Linked DNA regions of Struthio camelus. The protein of the gene in region 1 interacts with the protein of each later gene in a pairwise test. Links are inferred from orthologs where the notes say so. Each region holds a gene or a part of one and is shown in the gene's direction. Other genes may lie near its edges.

The links.
Region 2: the proteins of CDC5L (region 1) and ZNF451 interact in a two-hybrid assay, tested with the Homo sapiens proteins (2 studies listed by BioGRID and IntAct). The link is inferred for Struthio camelus from reciprocal best matches to the Homo sapiens genes CDC5L and ZNF451.

The regions. Positions count from the first base shown.
Region 1 is NC_090944.1:13,117,522-13,124,893, forward strand, and holds the start of CDC5L (cell division cycle 5-like protein), read left to right. Parts: upstream 1-4,370; 5' UTR 4,371-4,612; coding exon 4,613-4,657; intron 4,658-7,098; coding exon 7,099-7,202; intron 7,203-7,372.
Region 2 is NC_090944.1:36,076,900-36,084,786, forward strand, and holds the start of ZNF451 (E3 SUMO-protein ligase ZNF451), read left to right. Parts: upstream 1-4,871; 5' UTR 4,872-4,893; coding exon 4,894-5,010; exon of another isoform or gene 5,011-5,308; intron 5,309-5,396; exon of another isoform or gene 5,397-5,767; intron 5,768-6,265; coding exon 6,266-6,352; intron 6,353-7,887. UniProt on the Homo sapiens protein: E3 SUMO-protein ligase; has a preference for SUMO2 and SUMO3 and facilitates UBE2I/UBC9-mediated sumoylation of target proteins. Plays a role in protein SUMO2 modification in response to stress caused by DNA damage and by proteasome inhibitors (in vitro).

The DNA.
Region 1 (7,372 bases):
TGGGTGCATCTAGTCTTTTTGGTCCAGAGAATAAAATCGAGATTGTCTTGCTCCTGGCTCTTCTGAGAGCTTTGGTTCCGGCAAAGGATGTGCTAAAGAAGTTCTTGAAGGCACGTTTTCATGCTTGAGCACTTTTTCTGTTCTCTAAGGTCGGAGCTACGTTTTGCCCTATGCTCATCAGTTGAAACACCCTCATAGAAGGGTTATCTTATTCTATTTCACCTTTTTTTTTTTTTTGGTAGCTAAACTGGAGTCTTGTTTAGCTGAAAGAATGTTTAAAGGGAGGGGAGTGTGTTTTACGTTGCGAAGTAGTAACTTTCGAATTAAAAATTGTCAATGTGGTTGGAGGCTTAATGTTCCCTCCTGTCTGCTGAAACTTGCATTCCCTCCTGTAAGGTTCTCTTGCAACAACTGCAAGAGAACGGATTAGAAGTGTTTCACAATATTACTGAAACAGATTCATGTAATCACTGGATAATTGGGATATGAAAGTCTTTTATGTATATATATATATATATGTATATATGAAAAGGTTGTTAGGCACTTAATCTTGTCTGTAATTATCCCTGATAATTCTTTGAGTAGTCTGACAGAAATGGTAATGTAATCAGATCTTGTGAGATACTGAGAAACTTCAAATCCATCTTTATGAATTTTATTTAGATGCCTGATATTAATCTAGTATGAAATGCCTTATCTTTTCTCAGGTTGCTAAATGCAGTTACGGTGCTCCTTGCGGGAAAAAAAAATCATAGCATCTCTTTTGAGAAACAATATTTCTGTTAATTTAGGCACTTCCTTACATATTGCAAATACTTCTTGGATTGCATTGAAAACTTCAGCAATATCTTGAACTGTCAAACTTGCTTGTTAATATGAGAGATTTATTCTGCCTCTGAAATGACATGTATAATGACATATATCAAACTGTAGTTATTTAATAGAAATACATTATGGTGAAGACTGAATGAGATGGATGTTTCTTCCACTTTGTAGTCAAGCTTGCTTTGAGTTATACAGCGCTAGAGACTGTATGGAAGCCGCTAACTATATGTTCAATGGTATTTATAACAGCAGTGCTATCTTGTGTGGGGGGAAAAAAAGATAATGGCAAAGGATTGATACTAATTACCCTTTTCATGTTATAGTTCAGTCCATGAAACAACAGAGTAAGCCTGAAGCTTAATTTAGAGAATGTTACCATGAACTACTACTGCTATGTTACTGCTCTCAAATTTATGCTTTTCTTTGTTAATATAGGTGATACCTTGGAGAGGCTCTTTGGCAAAGTAGAAAAGCAATTTGCAAGAAGAGTGGACTGAAACTTATCAGTGGGTGCATGCACCTAAGGCTAGATCAACAAAGGAATTTAAATGATCTAGTTCTCTTTGATTTCAGTAAAATCAGGCAATTAAATGTTTGTGACCATGAACCTTAGTGATGTTACAGATATTTTTACTATAAGCTGGGAAGTCACCATTTGGAAATGCAAGAAGAAAGATTCTGATCTTAGAATGACTGAACTAACAATTGGTTACAGCTGTGAGAAGTAAGTTAGCTTAGCATGAATGTGGCAAAGCGTTTCTGGGAAATATTAACACTATTATGCAACCATGGTTGACTTTATTTGAATTTCTCTGGAATTCTGACAGCGTATTTGAAGAAAATAAAAAAAGAACAGGTGCAAAGAAGAGATACAAAAATGATGACAGAATTGAAATTCTGTGCATCAGGTGAAACTATGAAAACAAAATCTGATAAGGAATAATTACCTGTTTATAAGTATGTTTTAAATAAACTGAGCTCCCCTTTTCTCCGTTAAGGGATAAATACACTGTGAATTAAATCAGACAGGACACACAGTAAACACTGGAAATTTCTTTTAGTGGCAAGTAAGGAGAACAGAAGACATTCTCAGATGGAGCTTGATAAGTTTGTAAAAATAACTTTTTAGGTGGCTACCTCTAATTTAAAAAAAAAAACAAAAACAAAAAAAAAAGACTCATGAGGTTCCCCTCTGTCCTTAATTCTTTCCTAGTGCAAATGCACTGTCCTTCATAGAATTAGAAGTTTAAACCTAAAGTAAACCTAAATTTAAACGTAAATGCATATCTACTTTAAAATAAGGGCATTGGCTATTTCTAACGAGCAAAAAAATAAAAATCAAAGGTGTAATATTTTTGTCCTTGCAGAGTTTTAGCAAGAAGCAAAGTCTTTTCTAAATCATACTATGATATCTTTTACTTGAACCAAAACATTATCTTGGTGATTTTTTTTTAATTAACACATCCTGAATTTGGATAAAACAGTAAAATGCAATAGCATTAGTGACCCATCTCCTTGAGCAAATATATGGAGATCATTTTATCTGCTCCATGTCTTCTAAACAAGTGAATAATAAAGTTAAACTTGAGGTGAAATAAATGAATATAGGTGAGTTAGACCATGCTGCAATACTTGTAACCAGTTTTATATACAGCACATGGAAGGAAATAACGTTTTTTTTTTTTTTTTTTTTTTAGCTTGGAAAGTAAAAACTGTCCCATGCTGTTTTCCTCAGGCTCAATCCAGTGTCCCTAGGGGAGAGAAAATTACTAAATTTTAGTAATAAAGCTTTCACTTGGGCTTTTAAAATTGTGGGTGAACTGAGAGAAGAAAATACACAGAAAAGTGTGTTTAAAAAAAAATACTTTTGAAGGAGTCTTTGTGGACCAGATAATGTATGCTTCTTTCTATTGCCTCACATACCAGAGGCCTTTTGGATATGAGGGCATAGAGATAAGAAATAGGCATTCCTCAACTTCCCTTACACTTTGCAGTAAAGATGGGGGGGGGGGGTGGTTTGTGTGTGTAAGAAAAAACTTTTGCTATCCAGCTTTAAAGGCGTGTGTCTAGTTTATAAATCGAATATAGCATTAAGGAAGGCTTGTACAGTCTTGGCAAAGGAGAAACTTGTGCAGGAGGAGGGGAGAAGGAAGCTTGTTGTTCATTCGGTTCTCTCCTTAAAGGACTCGGCCAGGAGATAGAGCAGTTAAATAAAGAGCTCATTTTGTTCCCATAACTGTAGGCTAACTTGCTGAGGGCTCTCCTATTAGAGAAGGGAATTGCAGCCGACTTAGCTTCAGCTTAGCATAAGCGCCTAAAGCAGGTGAAGCCTGCAGGCCGCGGGACTGAACTGTAACCCAAAGAGCATTGCTGGCAACGTGACTGCAAAGTAAGCTAAAACCAGCCCTCAAGGGCACAGAGTGACCAGAGGTAACAGCTGACCTTTGGATAAGATAAGGTGCAGGAACACAGCAGCCGTCCCGGGATGTAGATGTGAACCAATCAGAGGGAAAGAGACCACCGACTCAGCAAAGAAGATTGGAAGAGACTATCACTGGCAGATGGGAAAATAAAACTGTAAAAAGTATAATTACTTAAGTATTCTTTTGTTCTGGGTCCATCCCCAGAGGCACCCAGCTCGAGCTGTTGCCCTGTCATACCATCCTTTAATTAAATGATTTTGCTGTTGTACGTGTGTGAGACTCTGCTCCTTGGAAACCTAGCGTCAAACTATTTCTACAACATCTCCAGCCTTTCAGCCTAATGCGATCTTGACCTAGCAGACAAGAATTGCTTCTCAAAGGCAAGAATCCAGACTATGCATATGATTGGGGTATCAAAAGGAGAGAGGGGGATTCTTTTCTGAAGCCTGGCTTCTGCGAGGTTTAGATCCGTAATCCTGTGAAATAGGGCTGAAAGCCCAGCTGCCTTTTTTTTTTTGTTTAGTAACAGTAACAGCTGCAGGAACAGTGGATTAGACAATGTCAACAAGTTGATTAGGATGGGAAGCATACTAGCAACTTGGTTCATTAGTGCCTAATAGGGAAGTTCAGCCTCAGGTTTTTTTTTTTGGTTTGGTTTTGTTTTTCTGATTATTGGAACGGAAGATCTGAAACCTTATGTAAACAGTAAGGAAGCTTTGCAGTGAAGACTGCAATACATAAGAGTTCAATAAACAATGATAACAGAAAAAGGACGGGTGAAGAGGTGCAGGGGCCTGAAATGTAAGATTTAAGTAACTCTTAAAATCTGGACATCAGTGTTCCAATTTTCACTCGGGCTGCCTTGTGTTAATGTGGATTTTTTTTTTTCCAAGATACTTTAGCAAAACACATTGTAAAAGTAAGACTGGTGAAATCTTACACAGCAGAGGACAGAAAAAAATGATCAGATTAAAAAAAAAAAAAGGTTAAAAAAAACCCCAAGCCTTTTCGCCGCATGGAGTTTTGTTCCGCCTCTTCGAAGCAGCCCCCGGGCGGCCACGCCCCCTCTCCTGGCCACGCCCTCGAGCCCCGCCCAGACGGCTCTGCCGCCCTGGGCTTGGCGCCTGCGCAGAGCCCCAAGCCTGGCGTCGTCCCCGTTGCGCGTGCGCGAACGGTGCCGTCCCCTCCTCCCCCCCCCCCCCCCGCGCAGCCGTTACGGCCTCCCCTTTGCGCCTGCGCCGAGCGCGCGCCTTTCCGCGGACAGCGCCTGCGCCGCGTCTCGGCCGGCCCGGCTGTGACGAGCGGCGTTTCCGTGCTTTCACCCCTTTTTCCTCTGCCGAGCTTGGTACCCCTTCGCCGCCAAGATGCCGCGGATTATGATTAAAGGCGGTGTGTGGCGGAACACCGAGGTAGGAGCCGGTTCGCTTTAATATCCTCCCCCCCGGGTTGGGGCCTCCTCCGGGATTGCGGGGGAGGGGGAAGGGGGGGGGGTCACCCTACATTAGTGCGCAAGCGCTGTGGGAGCGGTCGTGGCGCGCATGCGTGGAGGGGCTTCCGTAGTAGGGTCGTTTGCCTCCACGGCGGGGATGGGAGTTTGGGGTCTTCCTTATTCCTCTCTAGCGGGGGAATAAAGGGTTAGGGCTTTAGAAGTACCGCGGCTCTGGTAGGCTTGCTTCCCCTGCAGACTGGACCCCCCTGTTCGTCCCCTGGCCTGGTCGGCAGAGGTCGATTCAGTGCTGTTTCTCCTGGGGGTCATGTGTTTGGGGGGGGGGGGGAGGAAGCTCGGCCATGCGTAGCTCCTGGCACGCAGAAACCGCCCCCGCAGCAACTCGAGCTTCTCCGTGGATCCACCTGCACCTCGCCCTGCTCGGAGGTGTCGCTTTTCTAGGTTGGAACTTGTCCTGTACTGCATGGGCAGGGTTCTTACTCACTTGGGATATGAAAGAGCTGGAGTTCGTTCCTCTTGGAGACCCTTCCTAATGCAGAAAAGCTGAAGATAGGTATGGGCTCTTCATCTGCAGCCCAGAGTGTTTTGGGCAGAAGAATCTGTGTTGGCCGGAGTTTGAATGCACAAATGTTTCCCTGTGTCTAAAGAAAAGAAGATGATCTCTACCCTGTTTTTGCCCTCACGTTTCTTTCAGAACTATAAATAATAGTGAAAAAGAAAACAATAGTGCAAGAATTAGAGATTTCAGATTAATTTCGCTAGGTGCCAGGTTCAAAGCAAAGGAGATACTTACTTACTTACTTACTTACACAGTAAACTGTAGAACTCTGCTACTGTATACTGTGGACACTAAGTATTTACATAGTTTCAAAGAGCAGTAAGAAAAATTAATGGAAGATAAATGTCCTATGTTCTCTTAAACACCTATGCTATATAGCAGCTCTGCATCAGGAGGCTGTTGAGTTGCAGGTCAGTGGAGGAAAAGAAGTACTGCTGTGTACGTGTGCTGTTCTTATCATCTTCCATAGCTGATGAATTTTGGCAACTGTTAGAGAAACAGCAGTGGGTTAAATGGATCGTTGTTTCACCCGCTTTTGTATATCAGAGATGAAATAGAAAGCTCTTGTATTTACTGCTATTTTTATGATTAATGTAATGTGAATGTACAACATTAAAAAATACAAAAAGCGGAACTAATTGACGGTCAAAAAAATGACCGATTACTGGCAAATCGGTCTGCTATTGTCATCAGTATGGCTACTGCATGCGATTTGACAGTGAGTAGAATTCAGAAACCGAGAGAGGATTTATGGAAATTTGGGGCTTTTTTAATAGAGATTATATGAACTGCTTCCTGTAGCATCTCAAGCTGAAGCTCATTAGTTTGCAGTTGAAGCTGCTGTGCGCTGTGGGAACTGTCCGCGCTAGACAGCGAGTCTGTCACTGACGACTAGCATCTGCACTGTGCAGCCAAACAGATTCTGAGCAAACTACGTGATCTTATTGGATATAGAATAACATTCGTGGTTGACAAGGCTATAAAGAATAGCTGTGAAGTATTTAAAATACCATTTTCTGAATTGTGGGGAGACCAGAAATAATGAAGCCGTTTTTGTGGAGAAAGGGAGAGAGGAATGGATGGATGGGTTGACAAGGCAATAATTACAATTTTTAGCTTTTGATCATATCTCTATGTGTATAGTTTGATATATATGAACAGCCTGGCCTCCAAGCTGAGGTAATCCTAACTGAATCCATTACGTATTTTTCCCCATAAGCTTGTAAGCTTTCGGATCAGCATTTCTGGATGTAGCATTCTAAACATTTCAGTGGTTTATTTTAGGATTTATTTAGAATAGAGGAACTTCATATTTTGTGGTGTATTTTTTTAACAGCTTTTTCCATTTATAGGTGAATATTCCATCGCAACACAGGTTTGCATTAAAACTTGCAAAAAAACCCACTTCAGGGCGTTATTTAAAACAAGCCACCTCAGAGGATCTATCCTAATTTTTTTTTTAATGTTCTATCACTGTCAAACAGATAAACACCTCCCTGCCTCTTTATTACTATTCTTTGAAAAAGACCTACAGAACCATCAAAAACTGCATGCGTAAGAACGTTGAAACTATTAATTTTGAAAGTTCTGTCAAGCCTGCGAAGTAGGCCGCAGTGATCATTCCTAGTCTTTTTCATTCAGTCTCTATCAATTTCAGTGGGTTTTGGAATACAAATTCTCATGCATCTTGAAATAAAATGTGGAAAAGAAGCAGTAGTGCTTTGTCGTTTCTAGTGGGTCAGCCCTTTTTATGAAACTTACTGCATTCTCTTCTGCTTCAGCTGAGTCTTTCCGCTTTGCGAGTTTTGGTGATCCATAACAATATACATAATTTCTGTTTTAAGGATGAAATTCTGAAAGCAGCTGTGATGAAATATGGCAAAAACCAGTGGTCTCGTATTGCTTCTTTATTGCATAGGAAATCAGCAAAGCAGTGCAAAGCCAGATGGTAAGTGAGAAATACCATGACTGGGAATATGAAATTCATAGTTACTGTGAATTTAGAAGTTACTGAAGATTGATTTATGCCCATAGAGGAACAGTGATTTTAGTTTGAGTTCCATTTCTGTGGTTATTGCAAATTCCTATTGCTTAAAAGGAATATGAAGAAAAATAGCC
Region 2 (7,887 bases), about 23 Mb from region 1:
GTTTAGTTGGGGAGGCCATGGCTTCTCTCACTGGCCTTTTGCTGCCGGTACTCCGGTTTATCTCTTCCTTCCTGAACATCAGCTCCACACCTGAGAGTGTCTGGTCCCTTCAGTCGCGAAATGGAGGACAGTCTTTAGGAAGCGACTAGAAAAGGACAAAGATGCCAGCTCCTACTCCCTATGTCTAGGTTTTGGAATGCTACTTTTTGGTTAGGGAGTGGGTGGGTAGGTAGGGTGGTCCTAATGGGGTTGGTACCAGAAACCCCTCAGCAACATGCCAGTTCCTTTGGAGACCTGACAGCACTTGTCTCAGTCGGGCAACTGGCACATCCTATAACTGCCTGGAACGAAGAGGACAGGTACCTTTTTCTCCACTGTTGCTTGTAGTCTGACTGATTCCAGGTTTACAGTGCGCTTGTAGCATGGGAAGTAGAGACCATGGCTTTCAAGCTTGAGTGTATTTCTCCTAGAAGAGAGAGTACTAACAACAGTTAAATATATTTTTTACTTGGCAAACAAGCAACTAAGGAATGAAGATGAGAAAAACCACAAAAATGAAGAAATTTAGCTTGATTTGAGGAGACATCTCTGAATTATAGAAATAAATTAGAAGTAGCTTTGGGGTGAATGTCAGGAAAACATTCTGAGGACGAGGTTAGCAGCTGGATACCTTGAGAGAGGGAGGTGCTGCAAGCCTTAATTTTGTTCAATCAATGGACTATAGAGAAGACTTTTGCATGGGCAGGGGTATGGATTAAGTGATCTGTTAGCCTTTTTCATCTCTCATGTCTATAAATTCCTTGTAGATAGGATTAGGATGAAAGCAGATATGACAACATGACACAAGTTCTATTTCATGTTGTTCACTATCATCCATGAAATGTAACAGAAGGATGTTTGCCATTATGTATATTTTGTATATGTACCTGTATGTATAGCATATATGAATGTATATAGTTAATCATATTTTTGAAGCAACTTTCTATCAAATAAAATTAAACATTACTATGTCTTTGTTTCATTCTTATTATCTTCTGGGCTTTTTCTTACATCAGTCACTGCTGCACACTTTCACATGTAAGGTTGCTTTTCTTTCTCACTCACTCCTTTTTTTTAATAATAGTTCTGAAGCCAGCTTCTATAAAACTCGTAATTTTTAACTAAGGAGCTTAAAGTCCTCCCAGTTGATATAGCAGAGCTGCAGCAACCCTGCTGTTGTGGAGCAGTTCAGCGCTGGAGCTGCAGAGCCACTTGGGCACGCAGGCACATTGAGCTAAACGTGAGTAGCTGCTCTCTCTGCCTCTGGGGCAGCACTGAAGATCGTGATGCACTAGGTGCTTTTCTATTCTGCAGATTGGGTAGTTTTTCAAATGAAAACAAGCGGGGCTGGCAGCTCAGCACAATGAGAAAAGGAGGATTTTCATGGTAGCGTGAAGCACTAGAAAATGGGCATGGCAGGGGATGTTCTGAACAAAAAGCAAAGAACATAGAAAAGCAGACATTTTAATGTTCTGCCAAAGGGTAGAAGCAGGGAGCAGGCCGCAAAGAGCCGGTGTCTTCCTCTCTCCCTGTGGAACTGATGTTATCCCACCAAAGAGAAGATTTTACAGAACTGAATGGTTAACAGAAAAGCCATGGTCCTTTCAGTATGATCGAAAAGGAAGAAAATATAACTGGCTTTCGAAAAAGATGCTGACGAGCTCTCTGTGACTACAAAACTGAAGACTAAATAATTACAGATGAGAAACTACAGAAGTAACAAGGCAAGGGGAGGGGAGAGCAGAGCAGCTTAACACTGGTTTTCCCAAGATTTGCGCTAGAAACAAAATTAGTTGGTGACATGTAAACATGTTGTGTCACAAAGCGTACAATTCATCTGATAATAAGTGATAGAGGATGCATTATTTGCATTACTGAAAATCAGAGCAGGCTGACAGCTTACTGTAGAAGAAACTAACAGAGCTATACAACTCTGCAGTATCTAATAACTAGAGATTCAGTATTGAAAACTAAGTAAGCGGTACTGAAACAAATTATTTGAACTATCTGTTTCTATCTGTATTTTAGATTAAATTTGAAGATTACCTTGCAAAAGGATTTGGCCATTGTTTATTATGAATTGGTCAATAAGAATATCTGTTCTCTAAAGAAGAAAGAGCATTATGGTATGTGAAGACTGGGATAAAAAAATTGACTGATAAAAACAAAATACTATTGAATAGATCGGTTTTTCATGTGTCTGGTTCCTGTTCCCTCTTACTAAAAACCAGTATACTAGCTGACTAGGAGTCTAATTAAAAAAAAAATCTACATCTAAATTTTCTAGATTTAGAGTAAATGGCAGTATACAATGTTGACACAAGAGGGAAATCAGTGGTTAAAAAGGCAACATTTCACTCACGATAAGGAGCAAGGACAGAAGGAAGGAAGTTGAAATGTGTTTAAATTTTGTAAAAGAAAATAATTGTTTTCAGGGTACATAATACGTGGAATTGGTTGCAGAGAGTATTATTACTGAGTTTACATAGGAGGGAGGTCTGCTCAGAAATGGCTTCCACATCCTATCTAACACCCAGACTCCTCCTGGAGGTTTGGCCTTTTTTAAGATTTAACTCATGAACAGGCAGACCATGAATACTCCCTGCTCTCCTAGGTTTGTCCGTGGCTACCTTTGGGAGCCTATTGACTCTCTTTTAAAAAATGGACTACTCTCACTGCAAGTGATGCAGTGCAGCAGGCTACATCTTTTCCACGCTCTATGAAAAAAGCCTGTGTAATAACTTTCCTAAGCTGATACAACTTAGAAAGCCCATGTTTTCACAGAAATTACCTAAAATATTCCAGTTTTGGAATCTAGAATTTTATTAGCAGGAATTAGCTAAAATCTTCAAATTCTGGAATTCAGAGTTTTGTTAGCATATTCTAAATGTTGACCAGATTGCAGATATCACTTTTCTTTTACTGTCTTCTTTTCATTAACTGTATTGTTCACTTATGGGGAAGATCTTTGGATGGGTCATCGCAAGAGCAAACAAACCTCCTTTACCTCAGTTACTGCTGAAAAGTTCATACTCAAATGAGCATCATCTTCGTAGAATATCAGAATTTGAAAAAAAAATGCCACCTTGCTATTCTAGAAAGTTATTCTAGCAACTCACTACTATTGGACTTCGTGTTATCTGTCCTCAAGAATCAAAATTAATTAAGTACCACATGCAAGCTACAAATAGAATGGCTGCTTTCAATACTCTATTAGCAAATTTAGGTTATAAATGCAAAATATGAGCAAAGTTTAGGCAGCAACAATGACTTTAATTTTCTAAATGGCAACAAAGTTTCTTTTGTTTTAATAACAAAATAAAACTGTTCTACTAAGTGTTCTTTATACAGTTCAACAACAGTGATTACATTGTACAAACCAGTTAACTATCATATTTTAATTAACAGGCAAATAGTAAAAAAAAGCAAGAATCACATCTCACAGAAGGAGATAATAGGAGCGTTTCACGATCTCAGTACTTCCAAGTTTATCTTTTATCATAAAGCTATTTTTTCATTATGATATGAAGGGAGGCTTAAAACTGGGATTAGTACAGTAACTTGGTGTTTACAGGAAAAATAAATGCACTACATTAATTCTAACATTGCCAAGCACCATGTGATGTATTATTCCTTACACTTCTATTCACAAAGGTCTCATAACATCCAAATGCAACATGTAACCCTGAATTCTCTCTCTCTCCTGTGTATGTGTAGTTTAATAAGCACATACCAGTGAACTGTTTTGGGTACAAGCAGCTGTTGTATATAGGCACACAACTCGAAAGCGACATTCGGCTTACTCAGACTCAATGCACTGAGTAAACGTGATTCTGTTCATCAGTTTTGACCTGGGGTGACTCAGAGCTACAAAGAACAGGATGAAGCAGATCAGTAGCAGGCAAGTATTAAGAATCACAATTACACACCTAAGAGGCAGAGCATAGTTTGAGAAGCTAAAGGAAAGATTAGAATTAGGTGTGTCAATTTATTTCAGGATGCCATCATTTAAACTCACTGTTATTTATCACGTTACCACCTACTTCATTGCCATTTGCAGACCCACTTCGTTTCCCTCTGGAGCTTTCTTCCGCCCAGGAGGCTGCTGCGGGCTTCCCAGCAGGCCGGGAGCGAGCGAGCGAGAGGGCAGCGGCTGCTCCCCAGCCGCGCTCCACCACAGCCTAGCTGCGACCGCGCGTCCCAAGGAAGCCTAGCCGGCAGGGGGGAAGGTGGCCCCAGGACACCACGCCAGTTCTCCTTCTGAGAGCTCTCCCACGCACAACTGATATAGTCTGATATTCAGGTTTTCACTAGAGAGACTCTTTGGACAAGGCGCGTTAGGAAAGCAGGAGCAGAGCGGGATGCTCCCAGCATGCCGGGATTTCTGGAGGCCACCAGCAACGGGCGCTGCGGGGTGACACTGCTTCTGCCCCCGCCACCCCTTGTCAGGTGAGGCCGAGACACGGCCTCTGGGGCAGGGAAGGGCACCAAGGCACCCGGCCGGTCGGGGGGGGGGGGCAGGTGATGGCCTCGAGCAAGAGCTATCAGAAGTGAAACACTTTTTAAGCACTTAAGAAAAATCTTTCCTAAGCCGGGGTGACAACGCCCTCCCACCCCCGCGGGGACACAGAAACGCACAGAAAACCAGGAGCAGTGACCGGACGCCCCGGCCAGGCGCAGCACCCCCCCCCCAAGGCAGCGCCCCCCGCCGGCACCAGCCGTGAGGGGCAGCGGCCGCCGCCTCGGCGCGGCGCTAACGGCCGCCGCCAACGGCCGCCAACGGCCGCCGCGCGCGCGGCCTCCCCGGAGGGAGGGGGTTTTCCCGCCTCCCCTGCCCGCCCACTCTCCATCCCCATGGCGGTGACCCTGCCCCGCCTCGGCAGCGGCTTGAGGGTTTCCCTCCTTCCACCGGCAGCTTTATTCAGAAGCGGGCGATCGCAGAACGAAGGCGAGCGAGCGGGGGCGAGGAAGGTGCTGAAGGGAAAAAAAAAAAAAAAAGAAAGAGGGAACCGAAAAAAAAAAAAGATAGGAAAAACGCCGCCGCAGGGCAGCCGGGACATGACGTTGCGGCGGTAGCGCCGACACCTTCCGCGGGGAAGAGGCGGGGAGGAGCGCGGCGAGCCGGGCGCGAACTACAAGTCCCAGCAGGCCGCGCCCGCCGCGCCTTCCCTGCCCGCCGCCCCCGGTTTGAAGAGGAAGCCGAGGCGCGGGGTGGCGGGTCGGGGGTTGATGCGTCGCGGGTGCTGGTCGCGGCGGCGGCGCCGGCGGGGTGAGCGAGGCCGGGGCATTGTGAGGGGCGGGGGGGGGAGAGGGGGGAGCGCGGCGCCATCGCTTAGCAACGGCGGCTGCGTGCGCGGGGCGGGCGGGAGCGGAGCAGAGCAGGCGCCGGGCGGCCCCGCCGCCGCCTCCTGGCGCACCCGCTCTGTCTCGGTGGGGCCGGCGTGGTGGTGGCTGCTGCCGCTCGGCCTGGTGGCTTCTTATTTTGGCGGCTGCCTCGGCACCCTTTGGGCTAGCGTGGTCAGGCGGGCGAAGAAGGGCGAGTGAGTCAGCAGAGGTGCCCGCCCGGCGGCGCCGTCTGAGGGGCTGGCGGGCGCCTCGGGCCCGGCGATCCGCGCCTGCTGCTGCCTGCTCGCGGGGCGTCTCTCCTTTGGCAAGACGAAACTCTGTCTTCTGGCTCTCCTGCGGTCCTAAAGTGGCCGAAAGCATCAGAAATATCAGTAGCTGCTAAGTATGCCTTAAGTCATCACTTCCAAGACGTGTCTTTGGCTAAACAAGCCTCTGTTTGTATCCTAGTGGGGGTGCGCAGCTGCGCAGGTGCCAGCGCGGGCAAGTTAGGAGCTCTGCTTTTTCTGTTCGTATGGATTTGAGAGTGAAACGCGTTAGTCAACTAGGGTGGTAAACCCTAGTACCAGGTTCCTCTCTGTAGTAAAGCTTGCACAATGAGGAAGTGCTGGAGGAATACGGTGTTGGTGTGTTTTGTAGGTTAGGCTGTTTTGCATATTACTTGGGCAATGTAGTGACATGATTCGAACCAAAATTATTTTATTTCTTTTAGCACTTACTCTAGCATTATCAGTAGTTGTCACTGAATGATACGAAGAGATTTGAATGCAAATTGGTTGTAGAGCCAAAGTAGCTGTAAATGAAACTGAAAACATAATGAGGGAGAACTTTTTAAAAAACGATAGAACATGTTTGAAGCATGTTTTGATTTGTTTCTGTTTAGATAATGGAGTCTCTTAGCTCTGGCAACATTCCTGAGACTAAATCACCAACACAGCATGAAAGTGAAGATGACATTGAGTTCATTGGAGTAAGTAGATCTTGGGCTTGGGAACATATTGCACATAGTAGTGAGTACTTTCTCAGTAGTTGTATAAAATATGAGTTTTTTCTATACTGTATTTATGATCTTGATTATATTTAATTCAAAAATCTTTGTGGCAGGCAGCAAGTTCTTCTAAAGGGACTTTTGACAATGTCTTTGGAAGAGTAGAAGGTAATGTCATGTGGTGCTACAGAGAGAGAGTAGACTTGAGTATCTCAGCAGAGGAGTGGGGGATGCAAAGTGCATCCATGGTCAGTGAGGCATATGAGAAGGCTACTAATCACTGTAAATTTTTTTTTTTTTGTAGTCATGTTGCCTGACATTTTGCTTAATGAATAGTCCCATTAAAATTAATGAAACAAAGTGCTGCTCAATCTGCAAAACAACGTCAAAAAACACTATATGTCTGTAGCTGGAGAAAGGAAAGAAATAATGGAGTAAAGGCCTTTATCAGCAGTGTACTCGAGCACAGTGTAATAGCTACATATTCTAATGCTGACCCGTGGCTTGTGTGAATATAACTTTAAGATATTTACATCTGTTGAATGCGCAGGAAAAGCATAACATTTTTCTTGCTGCCTGTGTTCTGGCCTCAATACATCATCAGTGAAATGGTGCCCTATGGGAGGGATACATGCAAGAACAGAAAGGTGATTTCCGTTAAGGAACAAGTCATTCAAATAAGACCAAGTATAACTGATACCAGGACTGATAATGGCTAGCTCCCTATGAATTTGTCTTATTGTTAATGGTGAGTAGTGATTGACATTTGCACAGTTTTTACGCTAGCTCTCATGTAGATTTTTTTTTCTGTGTGCTGTCCAATGAAGTCTAAATTCAACCTGCAGACTTTCCCTCTCCAGAGGTATTTAAGTGCTCAAGTATGAGAGGCACACACGTATTTTTGCTAAAATTATAAGTACTTGATTATCTCTGAGACTTCTCAGTCTGTTAGCTGAATTTGATAAAAACTGACTAATAAGTTCAAAATTCATTATATATGCAGACAAGTATTCAAGTTTTAATGTGTAGCATAACTGTATAAACTTTCCTTTTCTAATATACCAGGCTAAGAATGAGGAAGCTTTGGATGTGTAATGATTGAAGGGCTGTGGGAGGAACCTGCAGCACCAGTTAAAGAAAAGAGATTTATTAAAATCAACCTTTTTATTGCTTTTGCCTATGTATATCTGATCCTTTCTGGTCCCAGTGATGACTGATGCTGAGAGAGACAGCTATATGTAGGAAGAAGGCTTCTTAGGCTCAGTTCTTAGGCTTGCTCTCCTTGGGCAAGGATATTGCTGCTGCCATTGAATACATGGGGGAAGGATGTCTGAAATTGGCCATTAGCTAATGTTAGCAATGATCCCTCTTTCCGATCTGTCATTTACTCCTACTCTCACACGTCTCTGAAGAAAACTTGCATTTTGCGAAAGGACTTCTAAACTATTTGCCTAGCTTTAAATGAGCCTTCTGGTACAATGTGCGCATGACTAGAAGTGTACAAGCTTTATAAATTT